3 linked regions of the Oryzias latipes genome follow. The protein of the gene in region 2 binds, or shares a complex with, the protein of the main gene of each other region. Links are inferred from orthologs where the notes say so. Each region holds a gene or a part of one and is shown on either strand. Other genes may lie near its edges.

What was found. Proteins that work in one complex are often made in the same cells at the same time.
Region 1: rbl1 (region 2) and lin9 share a complex: the UniProt entries of both Homo sapiens proteins name them as parts of the DREAM complex. The link is inferred for Oryzias latipes from reciprocal best matches to the Homo sapiens genes RBL1 and LIN9.
Region 3: rbl1 (region 2) and lin54 share a complex: the UniProt entries of both Homo sapiens proteins name them as parts of the DREAM complex. The link is inferred for Oryzias latipes from reciprocal best matches to the Homo sapiens genes RBL1 and LIN54.

What each region holds. Positions count from the first base shown.
Region 1 is NC_019882.2:7,722,424-7,728,500, reverse strand, and holds the end of lin9 (protein lin-9 homolog), read right to left. Parts: intron 5,277-6,077; coding exon 5,143-5,276; intron 5,054-5,142; coding exon 4,925-5,053; intron 4,624-4,924; coding exon 4,522-4,623; intron 4,420-4,521; coding exon 4,339-4,419; intron 4,249-4,338; coding exon 4,123-4,248; intron 3,243-4,122; coding exon 3,060-3,242; intron 2,940-3,059; coding exon 2,842-2,939; intron 2,775-2,841; coding exon 2,669-2,774; 3' UTR 1,990-2,668; downstream 1-1,989. Other genes in the region: homeobox protein MIXL1, read left to right, coding at 505-601, 767-987, 1,092-1,215, 1,319-1,884. UniProt on the Homo sapiens protein: Acts as a tumor suppressor. Inhibits DNA synthesis. Its ability to inhibit oncogenic transformation is mediated through its association with RB1. Plays a role in the expression of genes required for the G1/S transition.
Region 2 is NC_019863.2:32,772,795-32,778,709, forward strand, and holds the end of rbl1 (retinoblastoma-like protein 1), read right to left. Parts: intron 2,662-5,915; coding exon 2,467-2,661; 3' UTR 1,540-2,466; downstream 1-1,539. UniProt on the Homo sapiens protein: Key regulator of entry into cell division. Directly involved in heterochromatin formation by maintaining overall chromatin structure and, in particular, that of constitutive heterochromatin by stabilizing histone methylation.
Region 3 is NC_019870.2:2,869,554-2,874,907, reverse strand, and holds the end of lin54 (protein lin-54 homolog), read left to right. Parts: intron 1-61; coding exon 62-199; intron 200-739; coding exon 740-942; intron 943-2,270; coding exon 2,271-2,472; 3' UTR 2,473-3,365; downstream 3,366-5,354. UniProt on the Homo sapiens protein: Component of the DREAM complex, a multiprotein complex that can both act as a transcription activator or repressor depending on the context. In G0 phase, the complex binds to more than 800 promoters and is required for repression of E2F target genes.

The DNA.
Region 1 (6,077 bases), on a different chromosome or scaffold from region 2:
TTCAAAATTGAACAGATATTTGGATATCTATGGCTGGAGAGCTTTTTAATTGTTGATATTTGTGTATTTTTTGTCTTGTGATAACATGTGTATTTATTTTTCAGAATGACATGTGAACTTTATTGAAAAAAGTCCTTTAAAGGGGCACAACACCCCTGCTGGGGAAATTTCCTTCAGATTTTCAGCTACTGCCGGCATGTTGCGGCTTTACTCTTCCCACAGCAGGTAAATGTTTTTTCTGCAAATGTGTATTGAGGCCTCAGCTCACGTTAACCCCGCTTTAACAGGCCTGCAGTCGCTGCATCGTTCCAGGTGTGATGCTTTCACACCTCCGGGCTCCGCAGACGTCTGAAGTCGCTGCGCAGCCTCTGCTGTGCCAGCCGGCACGGATGGTCGGCCCATTCACACATTCCCTCGGTACCACCTTTGATCGCGGCTGGGATATAACCCCCAGAGAGCCCACGGGTCACAGTCAGCGGCTGCAGCTCCAGAGGCAGGAGGACAATGTCTGCGGTTGGTGGGAAAATGCGCGTCCGGGACCTGAACCACTTTCAGATGCTTCACGACGGGCCTCCGCACATGAGCCGCGTGGTGAGCTCAGGTGAGTGACCAACCGATCTGAACTGTTCCAACTCCTCCAATACTTGCTTTTTCAAATAATAGGTTTTATACAAAGATCCAGTTTTTGCGCTTCTCGCTGTGCGTCATTTACGCACCAAGTTCGCTTCCCGAAGTTAAACTCTCTCCGATTCTCTTGAAATCACAGAATTCGGATCCTCGGATGTTACGAACTACTTTACCCCCACAAACTCTGCACCAAGGGAGGAGAAATGCATGACCATTCTAACGCACAGGAGAAAGAGGACCAACTTCACCCAGCAGCAAATACAAGTGCTGGAAAAAGTTTATTCTGACACAAAATATCCTGACATCTACCTCCGAGAGCGCCTGGAGGCTCTGACTGGACTGCCAGAGTCCAGGATTCAGGTAAGGATGTGCTTAACTGGGATTTTGTTAGTCAAACATATAGTTACAACCAGGAAAGTTTAAAAAATAATCTCTAAATGTCCCATTTGTATTTATTATTTTAGGTTTGGTTTCAGAACAGAAGGGCCAAGTCTCGTAGGCAGGTGGGATCCTCAGTCTCCAAGGTCTCAAACACCCCAGGAGGTGTCACCTTCAGCCAAATCCAGAGCAGAATGTCCTCTCAAAAAGGTAATTTCATCCTTCTGTCCTGGATATATTTTCCTTTCTGATTTAATAAGACAGAGGAATAAAAAGCACACCTTTTTTGAAAATGTTTCCTACTGTTTTTCAGCTTATGAGCACAACTCTGAGATGCAAAGGATGGGAGCTTTTAAAGCACATGATAGTTTTATGCCGCTTATTCAACAAAGCGCTGTGGATCCTCACATGACCAGACTTCCAGGGAATTCCAGCAATTACACTCAGAAATCTTCATCATGCCTTTATGACATCAAGGGACCCAGAGGCCCGGCTGGCCAAGTGCAGCAACACAAACCCACCATCCCCACCCCAAGCTTCCATCTCTATCCCACCCAGAACGAGCATCAAGTCAAGACTGAAGCCAACAAGCCTGATAACCAGGCTCCAAAAGTCTTAGTGGAGTACGACAACTTCCCACCTAATAAAACTATCGGGCCGGAGATGAAAATTGTGATACCTCCGATCCCCAGCAGTTTCACAAGGTCGTCTCCAAATGATAGCGTGTGTCAGATGCAGTATCCACAAATGAGACTTACAGGTGGAGGACTCGGCCACTTCTCTCCCATTCAAAACATGGAAGCACAGAACATTTCCGACACGGATTCTGACTGGGAACAGGAAACGATGGCCGGCTTCAGTGGCTTCTGCGATCTTTAAGGAGCCTCCAAGATCCACGGGAGTCTGTATTTATTGTAAAACGTAATAATATTCATGACTGTATTTGTATTTTCCGAGTTGTGTATAAAATAAAAGAAAAAAAAAGACTTTTGCACCATTATGTTTAATAAAAAAGGAGGGAAACATTTACAGTTGCCCTGAGGCATTTTCATATACAACTGTACAATACTGAAAAAAGGGGTTCCCTAAGAAGAAAAAAAAAATTAACTTGAGATTTTTGGGGTCTGGGGGGTGATGGGGATGCAGGCTTTAGGTCGAGGGGATCAGCAGCCATGCCAGATGTGGTAATGCTAACATCTTAAGAGTAAAAGGCATCAAAAACCCAGAGATCTCGTTTACAAAAATACCAAAATCTCTTTAGTGCACACAAAATTACAAAAAGCCTTTTCTGAATATGAGGCAGAAATGTTAATATTCTATTAATTAGAGATATTGTACAGTTATCTACAACAATAAACTTTTCATTAAACATTCTTTTGCTTCCCAACACAACAGAAGTTTCATAGGAAGAAACAGTTTTTTTATCAACATACACAACTACACAAAAATAAATAAATATCAACAATAAAAACTGTTGGAATCAATGCTTGGCACGTTGGAGGTGTTGTCTTTAGCGTCAGGAGCTCAAACATTTCCCATAAAACAAAACGGATGGGTAAAAACGAGAACATCGTTGCTCCGGTGAGATCAAATCCCGTTTAGATGGAAGCACCGACCGTGAGGTGGCACGCCTCCATGCGCGTGCAGGAGAAAATGCTGGTGCTTAGACTGCATTGGTGTTGTTTGCAGCGAATGCGTGGAGATTTCCCAGTTGACTCAAACCACTCTGAATGTGAGCAACGTGGATTTCTACGTTGTTCTGAAAGCAACTGGAAATGAGGGAGACTGTAAGTAAAGACATGTAAGGAGTTCAAAAATAGAGGAGGGTTGATCTACCTGAGGTTGGAAGGATCGACTGAAGCTTTGATGTCATTCAGGGAGTCTGTCAGGGATTTAAACTCAAATGAGTTCAGATCCCCTTCATCTGCCAGACACTGAAACGAAGCAGGAGGTCAGATAAGCAGCTAATCAACTTATGAATAACACATGAGTTGCCTCTCCGGCTGAAGACTATCAGCTTCCTTCAGCTGCAGAACTTGTGAAATGCTCTCCACCTTTATCTGTAAGAGCAGAGCAGTGAGGCGGGAGATGAGGCTCGTGAGGCCGGGGTTTGTGATGATGTGCTGTCCGTCCCACTGCGGGTTGTACATCTGCACCATCTGCTGGGCTTGCTCTTCACAACGCCGCCGCAGCTCTGTGGGATGGTCAGCTGGAACCATGCCCTGATCCGGAGAAAGCTGGACAAAGATTTAAGGTGAATACACTGCAGCATCAGTCTTCCCAAACACTCAGGAAGAGCACCTTTTGTGTTCCCAACATTATTTAAAATCCTGTCACGTACAGAAATCCAGACGTGGAGACCTAGTTTTTGCTAAAGCAACTTTACAACAGACAGCTTTGTGATAAAAATCCAACATGAAACAATATTTGTGACAAATCGATTTCTCAAATCAGGGAGGTTTTTAATTAGCCTGGAGTTTGCTAATAAATCTCAATTTCAGCTTTAACTCTGAAACTACAAAGAATGGATCAGTGCACTTAACATCAAACATCAGGATGTGAAAACATTTCTGCTGTTCAAATTATTTGTTAAGCCGCTGTGATGTGTTGCAGTGCGACAATATGCAATTAACAACAATTATTACCTGCATAACATCTTTAATACACAAAAAAAAGTTTTAAAACATCAATTTCTCCATTGCGGGATCCATAATCTACTCTATTCTATTCAGGTTATCGGTGAACTTCCAATGTCTTAGGTCCTCGTTTTATTCTGCACATCAGTAAAAGCCTCACTGTTGCTAAAACTGACTGATCTAATAGACTTTAGACTATAAATCAGTCACATTCTGTTACTCAGTCCTTTAAATGCATTTCATTTCTAACTTAATAAAACTTATTTTTCTCTCCTATTCCAGTATAATGTTGGGATACTCCAAACTCCAAACCAGTAGAATTCAACAGACGAAGGCTCAGTCGGAAAAGATCAGTTTGAATGTTTAAGATAGGCTTGCCTACAAAACCGTACGTCCCCTTTAACTGGTCAAAACGTATGAAAAAAGTACTTTATGTACCTGAGAGACCTTCAAACAGTCAGACTTGACAGGATGAACTTACATCGCAACAGAACTGCTGCACTTCATGAAATACTTTGTTCAGATCTTTGTTAAGCTGGTCCAGCTCAAGCACAGTGATGGCATATCGCTTTTGAAAGTCCAGGTCGATGGGCATCGAGTACGACTTCTGAATACAAGAAGCAGGAATGTTATTTAGTCTTTCTTTAAACCTATTTGAGAATTGAAAGCGTTTTCAGTCATTCTGTGAATAGCATACCAGCCTTTCTGCCTCCGTGTTCATTTCTTTTAAATGCTTGATGTGCTCTTTCTTTATCATCAGGATTTTGGACAATCTGGTCTGGAAACAAAAACAAACAAACAAAAGTCATTTAGAGTGCGTGTCCAGTTCCACATTTAAAAAAAGAATATTGCAAATTTCTTTTACAAAAAAAAGGCTTACAACTTGAACCAAGAATTTTACAGGAAATCCTCCGAGTGTTTCTCCCTCAGAACACGACAGTTTGTTCCTCCAAGGCGATTGGCTCATAAGAGGATCATTGTCCTGGGAGAAAATACATACATGTAGAGAAATGAGGCAGATTTCACAAGCGATTGACATGAAAAACCAACAAAATTAAGATTTGCATGTAACATGTTAAAGAAAACATTCAGGTACCAAGTTATAAAAGAGAACTGTAAAAAGATTTCACCATCACTGAGTTTAATTTTATCTATAGGCTTCATAAATTGAACAAAACGATTCTGAAGGCACATTTCAGGCAGCAGACAGAAATGTTTACAGTTCGCATGTAAATATGAAATGGCAGCCCATTATTGTTGGATTAGACTGATGTTACGGTTACCATGTGGACAGGTGTCGTGACGGACGGATACGTCGCTCTGGGCGGAGTCATGACGTTCTGCATGTACCGCGCTGACCGGTGTTTCTGAGCGAAAGCCGAGATGGGCATGGTTTCATTGGGTTCGTTGCTCTGGAAAAACAAATCGTTAGATTAGGAAAACGAGCTTCAGAGTTCCTGCTGCCGGTTGTTTTGGTGAAACCATTTATTTACACATTTACCAAAACTTCGTAATCAGGCACGGTGTGAGTTCCCAGGCCAGTGCGGTCGAAGGTGACACGATAGGTGGCCGCGCTTGTGTCGACTGCATCAATCTGCCCCGTGAACAAGCCATCGTGGTTGCCTCGGAGTCGAGCTGGAAAAAGTGAGCAGGATTAGCGTTCCAACAACACATCATCAGTATGACGGTCTAATCCCAGCTCACATTCAACATACAACATCCTACATACAAACTAAAGTTTCAAAAAGAAATTAAATCATAAATAAATCTAAATATAAATTAGAATACAACAGTAGATATTTGTTATAATGCTTCTTAATACTAACATATTTCACCTACTGTATAGAAATGTGGTGTAATAATTATAAGAGTTCACTACATCCTCTCTTTTTACTTCAAAAACGAGCCATCAGTATTGTACATAAAGCCGGCTATGTATCTATCATACAAACAATTTATTTGATCAATCTAGACTTGCACTAAACTTTGGAATGAGCTCAAACAATGTTCAAATATCCAAATATTCCAGAAAATCTATAAAGAAACTCTGATTTCAGGATATAAAGATAAGAGGAGTTAAGGATCAACAGGTGTTTGAATAATTACAAATACATTTGTGAACTTGATTGTGGTGAAATAATCAAAGCTCTTTTAATTACAACCAATGGGTATTAAATAGTAATGTGCAATAATGATTACTAAAATGTTTTAAATTACAGTCAATAAGTTATAGATTTTCTTTACTTGATCTGCAACGTGTAGCAATAATTACTGGTTTATTGTGATCATGTGTTCTAATGATAATCAATGATTACATATTGATTACCTAAAGTGTAAATCATTACTGTTTACTGAAAAGATGTAGTTCTTTCTGAGGATAATCAATAAGCACTCGATTTTGTAAATAACTTGATCTGCAATGTGTAGCAATGATAT
Region 2 (5,915 bases):
CCTCTTTTAAGGTTCTTTATTCTGGTGACTGCAGACCACAACAAACGCCGTACAATTAATTCAGCAACTCCTGAATCTCTCCCGCTGAAACGAGAGCGCTTCTCCCAACTTTATATTCCCCCCTCCCGCTCCAGCCCTCCCATTTCCCTTATTCGGCCCATAGCTGAACCCCATTGGTCCAAATTACCTAACAACAGGCTGAGCGACAGAACTGAGAGCCAATCAGATCTCTGCTTGATGCATTCAATGAACTCCAGAACTTTTAACGCGACCCAACAGCCACCCAGTCCAAGTCAGTAAGCAACGATATATTTAAAACTAAATATACAAGTGAATGTGTGCATTTGATGTAATTTCAACATTTTTAAAGTACAATAAGTCTGTGGATTCTTTTTAATAACATTGTTATTCTGTTGCTAATAAATGATGAGTATTTCTCGTGGTAGTTTTGCTGATGGTTTAGTCTGGTTGATACGTGGTGAGTTTCTGCTTCATGCAGGCGTTGAGACTTTAAACGTGATCGTAGGTCTGAATGTTCTGTAGATGTGAGACAGACATGGAACCAAACACACACTCACACGCTGCAGTGAGTGACGGGAAGCGGGTTTTACGTTTTTACAATCCCTGCGCGATTCACCTGCTGCCTGTCCCCACAACACCCCCCCCCCCCCACCCTCTGCTTTCTTCCTCACACATCCCGTCCCCGCAACTGCGCGCTCTTTCTCAGAGACGGGAGCGCGCACTTTTAGGCACGGCAATTCACAGGTTTCCAGTTGGTACAAACTCTGTGAAATTATAGATAATTGTAAACTTATAGCGCTGGCGCAGATTTTTCTCTCCAAGCACCGCTACTACTGCGCGCCTCTGGCATCGCATCGCGCCCGAGAAGAACTGGACTAATGATTAAAAAAAAGTATAATTAAAGATTTGTCTGCGAGCCACATGTGACCATCAAAAGAGCCATATATGGCTCGCGAGCCATAGGTTCCCGACCCCTGGTCTACACTAAAAACTGTTCGAACTCAAAGCGGCTCAGAAGGTTCCTCACAGAAAGTCTCAGATGGAAAGTCTGGACGGGATGGAAAAGAGCAGAAAGGAAAGATCTACTGACAGGAGCAGCAGCTCCAGCAGAGCGTCTCTCCTGAAACGGAAGCTTGCAGAGATGGACGTTGCCTGCTCTGAAGCTGTTGAAGCTTTTGAATCTCTGAAGCCTTGAAGCTCTGAAGCTGTTGAAGCGTCTGTCTTTGGTGTTTTGGTTTATGGAGTTTTCTTTGCATTCGTTCTGCAGGTTGGCGGTGAGTCCTCCTGGAGGCCCCGCCCCCTCCAGGCAGAGGTCACAGCTGCCTGGGGCTGTTTGGGTGTCTCTGCCGTCTTTATTTCCCTTCCAGTTTGTTTTGGACTCTTTACCTCTTGTGGTGATTTTTGGTCATAATGTTTGAACAAATGTCTACCTTTAAGGTTTTTTTTTATTTTCAGAACATTCTGGCCTTAAAAGGCAAAACCTGATATTTATCTGCATATTAAAGAATTCCACAGAAATAATAAAACATACATTTTATTTTTTTCAAACTGAACACGATTGTAGTTTGCAGAGAAACAGCTTCTTTTCCATAATTGAAACAGATTTTCTGTATTTCTGTTTTCTCAGGACAAAACAGAAAGACTTCAAAAAATGTTCAGTTTCTGACAGAATTTTGTTCCATGTATGAAAAACAGGTGTCATCAAATCTTAAACTGAATAAAACCAGGTGTGTAGATGCTACACACACACACACAGGCACACACGCACACACACGCACACACACACACACCTCTGCAGTGATTTTCTTCACTACATTTACAACAAAATGGTTAAAGTCACAAACAAACAGAGAAAAGGTTAAAATAAAATTACTTTTAAACTGACTTTTTACAAAAACAGTGAGGAAGACCATCAGAGGAAGATATTCACAGGTTCAGACGTTGTTTTAAGACCTAAAAATGTTTTAAAATTGAGTTTTTTTGTTTTCTTGTCACCAGTTTATGAAGGAATCAAATACTCATCAGTAAAACTTCCACCGGTCTGCTGTTGTCATGGCAACCTGTGCTTCACTTCAGTAAATGCAAAGGGGGAGATCTAAATGAGTGATCAAAGAAATGAAAAGCCGCAGGTAATCTAACCTGCAGGAGCATCTTTCCTCTGAAAAGTGAGAATATTGGGTTAAAAACTGACAGATGTGGTGAAGGACGGTTTCTCCTCGACGACGACCTACAATCTACACCACAAAGAGCGACACGTGGCGCTTCAGTCCGACCATCTTCCAACTGCACTAGAACAAGACGAGCGACGGCCCCCAACGCTGTGAGCGGGAGCGCCCCCTGGTGACAGCTTCAGCTCATGAGTCTTTCCTGCAGACCAATCAGGCCACTGAAGGACAGAAACCTCCACGGATGTCTTCTGCCGACTCTGCTCCTCCCGTCAGGACTTCAGTGGCTCTGCCTCTCCGACACCACGTCCTGCAGACGTTTCAGCAGCACGTCCGGGCTGCCGCCGTTCTCCGGACACGCCCTCTTACTTGGCGAGTCGCACGCGGACGCCATGGTCACGTCCCCCTCCATGGTGAAGGCCCTCTTCCTGCTGGCAGAGCCCTGCCGGATCATCCTGTTGATGTCTGACAGATCCTGCAGAAGAGAAGAACTTTTCAAGTCCGTCATCCATCAGAGTCTTCTGCTCGCCGTGTCTGTCACGGGTCGTGTGTGTGTTCATCAGTGTGTGTGTGTGTGTGTTCATCAGTGTGTGTGTGTGTGTGTTCATCAGTGTGTGTGTGTGTGTGTTCATCAGTGTGTGTGTGTGTGTTCATCAGTGTGTGTGTGTGTGTTCATCAGTGTGTGTGTGTGTTCATCAGTGTGTGTGTGTGTGTGTTCATCAGTGTGTGTGTGTGTGTGTTCATCAGTGTGTGTGTGTTCATCAGTGTGTGTGTGTTCATCAGTGTTTGTGTGTTCATCAGTGTTTGTGTGTTCATCAGTGTGTGTGTTCATCAGTGTGTGTGTGTTCATCAGTGTGTGTGTGTTCATCAGTGTGTGTGTTCATCAGTGTGTGTGTACATCAGTGTGTGTGTGTGTGTTCATCAGTGTGTGTGTGTGTGTGTTCATCAGTGTGTGTGTGTGTTCATCAGTGTGTGTGTGTGTGTTCATCAGTGTGTGTGTGTGTTCATCAGTGTTTGTGTGTTCATCAGTGTGTGTGTGTGTGTTCATCAGTGTGTGTGTGTGTGTGTTCATCAGTGTGTGTGTGTTCATCAGTGTTTGTGTGTTCATCAGTGTTTGTGTGTTCATCAGTGTGTGTGTTCATCAGTGTGTGTGTTCATCAGTGTGTGTGTGTTCATCAGTGTGTGTGTGTTCATCAGTGTGTGTGTGTTCATCAGTGTGTGTGTACATCAGTGTGTGTGTGTGTGTTCATCAGTGTGTGTGTGTTCATCAGTGAGTGTGTGTGTGTTCATCAGTGAGTGTGTGTTTGTGTGTGTGTTCATCAGTGTTTGTGTGTTCATCAGTGTGTGTGTGTTCATCAGTGTGTGTGTGTGTGTTCATCAGTATGTGTGTGTGTGTTCATCAGTGTGTGTGTGTTCATCAGTGTGTGTGTGTGTTCATCAGTGAGTGTGTGTGTGTGTGTTCATCAGTGTTTGTGTGTTCATCAGTGTGTGTGTGTTCATCAGTGTGTGTGTACATCAGTGTGTGTGTGTGTGTTCATCAGTGTGTGTGTGTTCATCAGTGAGTGTGTGTGTTCATCAGTGAGTGTGTGTGTGTTCATCAGTGTGTGTGTGTGTGTTCATCAGTGTGTGTGTGTTCATCAGTGTGTGTGTGTGTGTTCATCAGTGAGTGTGTGTGTGTGTGTTCATCAGTGTGTGTGTCTTCATCAGTGTGTGTGTACATCAGTGTGTGTGTGTGTGTGTTCATCAGTGTGTGTGTACATCAGTGTGTGTGTGTGTGTTCATCAGTGTGTGTGTGTTCATCAGTGAGTGTGTGTGTGTTCATCAGTTTGTGTGTGTTTGTGTGTGTGTTCATCAGTGTGTGTGTGTTCATCAGTGTGTGTGTGTGTGTGTGTGTGTGTGTGTGTTCATCAGTATGTGTGTGTGTGTTCATCAGTGTGTGTGTGTTCATCAGTGTGTGTGTGTGTGTTCATCAGTGAGTGTGTGTGTGTGTGTTCATCAGTGTTTGTGTGTTCATCAGTGTGTGTGTGTTCATCAGTGTGTGTGTACATCAGTGTGTGTGTGTTCATCAGTGTGTGTGTGTGTGTTCATCAGTGAGTGTGTGTGTGTTCATCAGTGAGTGTGTGTTTGTGTGTGTGTTCATCAGTGTTTGTGTGTTCATCAGTGTGTGTGTGTGTGTTCATCAGTGTGTGTGTGTGTGTTCATCAGTGTGTGTGTGTTCATCAGTGTGTGTGTTCATCAGTGTTTGTGTGTTCATCAGTGTGTGTGTGTGTGTGTTCATCAGTGTGTGTGTGTGTGTGTTCATCAGTGTGTGTGTGTGTTCATCAGTGTGTGTGTGTGTGTGTTCATCAGTGTGTGTGTTCATCAGTGTGTGTGTGTTCATCAGTGTGTGTGTGTTCTTATCAGTGTGTGTTCATCAGTGTGTGTGTGTGTTCATCAGTGTTTGTGTGTACATCAGTGTGTGTGTGTTCATCAGTGTTTGTGTGTTCATCAGTGTGTGTGTGTGTTCATCAGTGTGTGTGTGTTCATCAGTGTGTGTGTGTGTTCATCAGTGTTTGTGTGTGTTCATCAGTGTGTGTGTGTGTGTGTTCATCAGTGTGTGTGTGTTCATCAGTGTGTGTGTGTTCATCAGTGTGTGTGTGTGTGTTCATCAGTGTGTGTGTGTGTGTTCATCAGTGTGTGTGTGTGTGTTCATCAGTGAGTGTGTGTGTGTGTGTTCATCAGTGTGTGTGTGTTCATCAGTGTGTGTGTGTTCATCAGTGTGTGTGTGTTCATCAGTGTGTGTGTGTTCATCAGTGTGTGTGTACATCAGTGTGTGTGTGTGTGTTCATCAGTGTGTGTGTGTTCATCAGTGAGTGTGTGTGTGTTCATCAGTGAGTGTGTGTTTGTGTGTGTGTTCATCAGTGTTTGTGTGTTCATCAGTGTGTGTGTGTGTGTTCATCAGTATGTGTGTGTGTGTTCATCAGTGTGTGTGTGTTCATCAGTGTGTGTGTGTGTTCATCAGTGAGTGTGTGTGTGTGTGTTCATCAGTGTTTGTGTGTTCATCAGTGTGTGTGTGTTCATCAGTGTGTGTGTACATCAGTGTGTGTGTGTGTGTTCATCAGTGTGTGTGTGTTCATCAGTGAGTGTGTGTGTTCATCAGTGAGTGTGTGTGTGTTCATCAGTGTGTGTGTGTGTGTTCATCAGTGTGTGTGTGTTCATCAGTGTGTGTGTGTGTGTTCATCAGTGAGTGTGTGTGTGTGTGTTCATCAGTGTGTGTGTCTTCATCAGTGTTTGTGTACATCAGTGTGTGTGTGTGTGTTCATCAGTGTGTGTGTACATCAGTGTGTGTGTGTGTGTTCATCAGTGTGTGTGTGTTCATCAGTGAGTGTGTGTGTGTTCATCAGTTTGTGTGTGTTTGTGTGTGTGTTCATCAGTGTGTGTGTGTTCATCAGTGTGTGTGTGGGTGTGTGTGTGTGTGTTCATCAGTATGTGTGTGTGTGTTCATCAGTGTGTGTGTGTTCATCAGTGTGTGTGTGTGTGTTCATCAGTGAGTGTGTGTGTGTGTGTTCATCAGTGTTTGTGTGTTCATCAGTGTGTGTGTGTTCATCAGTGTGTGTGTACATCAGTGTGTGTGTGTTCATCAGTGAGTGTGTGTGTGTTCATCAGTGAGTGTGTGTGTTCATCAGTGAGTGTGTGTTTGTGTGTGTGTTCATCAGTGTTTGTGTGTTCATCAGTGTGTGTGTGTGTGTT
Region 3 (5,354 bases), on a different chromosome or scaffold from region 2:
GGCGGTCGCTTTGTGCGCTTTCCAGTCCCCGCTTCTCCTGATGGAAAATGTGTCTCTGCAGACGTGTCTGGACCGAAATCCAGAGGCCTTCAAACCCAAAATCGGTAAAGGGAAGGAGGGCGAGTCCGACCGCCGCCACAGCAAAGGCTGCAACTGCAAGCGGTCGGGCTGCCTGAAGAACTACTGCGAGTGCTACGAGGTGCGTTTGCTCCCCCTTTCACCATCTCTGCTAAGTCTTTCCTGCTATATTCTCTTCCGCAGCCGTCCGGAAGACGAGGACCAGATTGTTTTGTTTTTTTTATTCTTCGCATTTAAGCGCCACAGACGCAAAAACTTCACTAAATTCGAACGCATCTTGTACCCAGTGAAAATGAATTTTTGGCATTTTTGGTACTTGTGAAAGCGTAATAAATGACTCAAGCTAAAAAAAACGATATAACGTGATTTTAATACATGAGAATGTGGGTGTGGTTAATAAGAAACCTCTGTTGCTAAGGAAATCCACAAATGTACTTTTGCCGATTCTTCTAAAAATTACATGAACCTGTTCGTCACCCCCAGGCAACCAAGAAAGTAAATGGTTGCTATGGAGATAAACTAATTGAAAAGTTGCCATTTTAAGATTTTCTTTTTCTTTATTTATTACGAATTTGTGCCGTGAAGCTTTGACCAGGGCAGCAGGGACATACAAAAAAAAACTGCTGAAGCATTAATCGTGTTTACATTTCTTTCTTCCAAGGCAAAGATCATGTGCTCATCCATATGCAAATGCATCGGGTGCAAAAACTTTGAGGAAAGCCCGGAGAGGAAGACGCTGATGCACCTGGCGGACGCAGCAGAAGTGAGGGTTCAGCAGCAGACGGCAGCAAAGACCAAGCTGTCCTCGCAGATCTCAGACCTGCTCATGAGGACCACTCCGGTCATTTCCAGCGGAAGCGGGAGGTGAGAACCGCTGCCGGAAAACTCCGGAAACGCCTGGAGAACTTTACACGGATGAGAAATAAACAAAGAAAATGGTTTTGGGCTCTATTTATCTGAAAATGTTACACCAAAACCTTTTTTTTCTGCATTTAAGACTCCTGTTGACTCACAAATACATAAGCAATCGACACATTTCTGGCCTTCTGATGCTGTTTTCTTGCTTTAAACAGAAAAATTATTCAGATCAGACTCATATCATCTTTTTTTTGGGTATTACTGCAAAAAGTTATGGCTGCCAAAAAAATGTAGGACAGCTGAAAAAGAGTATGTAATGTCAAAAGCAAAAAAAAAGGTTGGGTTAAGGGTAAATTTGATTCGTAGAGGGAAAACCTTAAAAATTTAGAAAATTCCAAAACGAGGGGAATTGATTATGAGAAATATTTAAACTTATTATTAAATCTTTATTTAACTCATAAGAACCCAAACCCATTTTTCCTTCAAAATAAGATTGTGTGTATTTACTGCAAACCAAGTGGACAAACTTTTCTGACATTTTTCTGTTACGCTGATGTCACTGTGGGTTCAAGAACAAGTGTGTAATGTTCAGCGAAGCTAAAAAAAGAGCTAAGTTAAATTCTATATTTAAGGTTAGTTGCCCTTATTGCATGCTTATTGTTCTGCTAAATACAAGACAGCACAAAAATCTAGAAAATTAGGAAAAACGGCCCAGAAAACAGGAAAACAAGGCGATGCAAAAAAATAGCACAAAATCTCAATTTAAGACGACTGGAAAAAAAGTGTGAAATGTTAAATAAAGTTAAAAAAATATGTTGTTTTTTTCATCAACAGTTTTTTATTGTTCTGCTAAATAAAACAAAAAATGTGGAAAAATGCCCCAATAAAGGAAAATGGTGGTGTGGATATAAAAGTCAAACTTTTTGGGGGAAATAAAGTCGAAAAGAAAAAAAACATGTTTTTTAAATCTTAATCTTGTTCAGTAGTTTTCATTAAGCTAAGATGAATTTGTGTTTACAGTACGAAGCTTTAGGCTAAATAGCTCAAATATAAGACGGCTAAAAACAAGCTATGGGATAAAAATAAGTTCTTTGTCATAAATGGTAAATAATTAAAAAGACAGCTTAAAAGAAAATATTTTTAATGTGTTTATTTCTTTGTCAATACAGATTTTGAAAAGCAGATTAATGTGGAAATTGCATAAAAGCGGGTTTGAGGATCTTTTTTTCAGGATGATGATGCAACAAAGAACAGGAGCTTGCATTAAAAAAAAACAATATTAATAATCGACAAACATCAGAAATTCAGAGTCATGATAGTCTTGTTCCCCGCAGGCTTCCGTACACGTTCCTAACGAAGGAGGTGGTGGAGGCGACGTGCGAGTGTCTGCTGGACAAGGCCAGAAGAGCCGAGCAGACGGATCAGCTGACGAGCGAAGCGGAGCGGCTGATCCTGGAGGAGTTCGGACACTGCCTTATGAACATCATCACCTCTGCGGGGAAGGCCAAAGCCGACAGTGCCTCCATCAACTGCTGAGTTGAGCTGTCGCCAAGTTTCCCCGGTCGCGCCTCGGTCGCCGCGCCTCCGACGCCCGTCCCTTCCCGCGGGAGGAACGGGGCCGTCTCCTCCGAGGCAGAGGGAGGAGCCTAAAAAGGCGGATTTCTCCCAGCGGCAGCTGGAGCGAGCGGCTCAGCTCGGACTGATGAGCGGACTCTGGGTCCCACTCGTTCATCGGACTGTGATGCACAGAAACGACGAGTTGGAGTCCAACAGGAACTTCTCTGCCCTTCAGAACCTCCTCCTCTTCTGTTTCCACCTGACTGCTGCTCTTATTTTGAGGTTTTCCAAGAACGCCTCTCATTTTGCTATCGGTATATTTGTGCTTACGGTAGACGAGCAGAACTTTTATCTTTTGATATTTATTTTGTCAAATATTTGTTATCAGAGTGCTAATATTGTGTGGCTCATAGGTCCACAAACTATTAACTAAAGTTAGGCAGCATTGTTTTTTTCCTATGAAAGTAATTAGATTTTGTTGGTTTTATACTAAATAAAATTGTGAGACCTGACGGACGGAGGATCAGCTGCAACATGAGTGGACTGATGGAGGATTATGTTTCGACTGAATACTTTAGACATTAAACCCAGCATGAATTTGATAGATTGATGCGGATTACTCGTTAGGGGGACGTCACAACAGCTCATTCATTCAGACCCAGCCTCGGTTTGACCGCCATTTAAAAGGAGAAATACTCAGAAATGCAAAAATGAAATGTTTTTATTAAATTATATTTGTTCTCTTCTATAAGAAAAATGCCACAGGTACATGACAAAAACCCAAAAAAACCTGATTTTCATCTGACTTTAAAGTGAAGGTCCCGAATGAATGAGGGTAAAAATAAAAACGAGAATAAAATTGGAGGACCTTTTTTTTGTTTGTTTTTTGTTTTTTATATTGATGAAAATTAGAAAAATATAAAGTTTAGGAGGCCGGAGCAGGCTGGCTCCCCGGAGCTGGCAAAGTGATCGGGATCCATGCGCCCTACGGCAAACTGTCCATGGTGAACCCGTCCCGGCTCCTGTTGGGCGATTTGGTTCAGACGGGACCTGAGGTGGCGCACGAATCGCCCCCCCCCCCCCCCCCCCCCCCCCCCCCCCCCCCCCAGAGGAACTCATCCTCTGAGGATGGATTAAGTTTGGGATTAATTTGAGTATTTGGAAAATTACATGTGAATAGTCATTTCAGCCAGTGCCGCTCAAATTCTGCAATGCAACTCAATTTCATGGACTTATCAAAGTTCTTTTTTGTGGCTAATCTTAGTAAACAAGGTTTTTGTAAATGTTGTTCAAAAGTGGCGATTTGGAACCAAAAATATGTCAGTTTTCACTTTTTTGAATCGAGACTGTCAGTTTGCTGTCATTTGTGCAGCTCTTCACTCATGCTAGACACTGATTTAGTCAGAAAGGTGGCATCAAGGGCGGAGCTACTTAGCTCAGCTCCAATGGCCACGCCCATTTAGAGGAGATTTTGGAAACGGAGGCTTCAGATAAACATGAAATATGGCTTTTTAAGACATTTCTGTTACGGAATTTTGGTTAAAAACTTCATAATCATAACTAAAACTACGACGGAGTTTTAGGGCCACGGTGAGGAAAAAAAATTCTGGCCAACGTGACGAGATTAAAGTCGTCATGTCGACTTTAATCTCGTCATGACGAGAAAAAACTCGACACAAAGTTTCGAGAAAAAACTCGTCGTGTCGAGATAAAAGTCGAAATAAAGTTTCGAGATTAAAGTCGAAATGTTGTGCGAGAGCAGTGAAGCTGAGTCTTTCAGGAATATTCAGTGTTATGGCTAATGTTAGTGAGCTAGTGGCTTTGTATTTAAGAGTTTACGACAGAGTTTTATGGCCACCAAAAAAAACTAATTTTATTAGGAGATAAAAACTCGTAAATTTACGGGAAAAAGTTCATTGATTAACAAGGAGAAAACCCAGAAGTTGTCTGTTTATCGGAGCCTAGCTTGAAGATGAAATATGTGGAGCCTTTTGTGAAGCTTTATTTCCGGATTATAGGTTTAAAACAAAGATATTCTGAGCCTTTTGGCGACTCAAAATCAGATTATTTTCCGTGGAGCCGTCTTTCCGGGGTTCGGTGTCAGTAAAGCGGACTTTGATATGTAAAATAGGGAGCTCAGAGACACGTTTGGGTGTAGAGGATCGCTGCAGCCTTTATTCTCCTTTTCATTCACATAACCTGAAGTTCATCTGTCACATTACGTCATGAATCTGTCATCCGATCACCAATGCGGAAGTAAACAGTGTCACATACGCCCCCTCCTGCAGATGAAGCGACCCGTTTGATCATTAAAAAACAAAGATGAATGAAAATAGTCTGTTATATTAGCATTACAACGTTGAAAATGGCAAAAAGTGCTTCTCCTCCTCAGACAGAAGCATCACACAAACATAGATATCTGGTCTCTGGTGGAGGAAGAAAGGATTCAAGCAAACAGCTGCAGAGATCCTGCAAACCAACCATCAATAAATAAAACTTTAATAACTTGTGAATCAATCAAATGAGCCTCCAGACATTTGGAACGTTATCAATTAACATTCAGCTCACCTGTTCAACAAAGTTTAGTCGGTCTGCTCTGCTGCTGCACGGCGATCACCTGCTGCTCTGCGTGCTGCTCACTTCCACAATAATCTCGTAAATTTACGATTTTTTTTCTCTCGCGCGCAACATTGCGACTTTAATCTCGAAACTTTATTTCGACTTTTATCTCGACAGGACGAGTTTTTTCTCGAAACTTTGTGTCGAGTTTTTTCTCGTCATGACGAGATTAAAGTCGACATGACGACTTTAATCTCGTCATGTTGGGCAGAATTTTTTTTCCTCACCGTGGCCCTAAAACT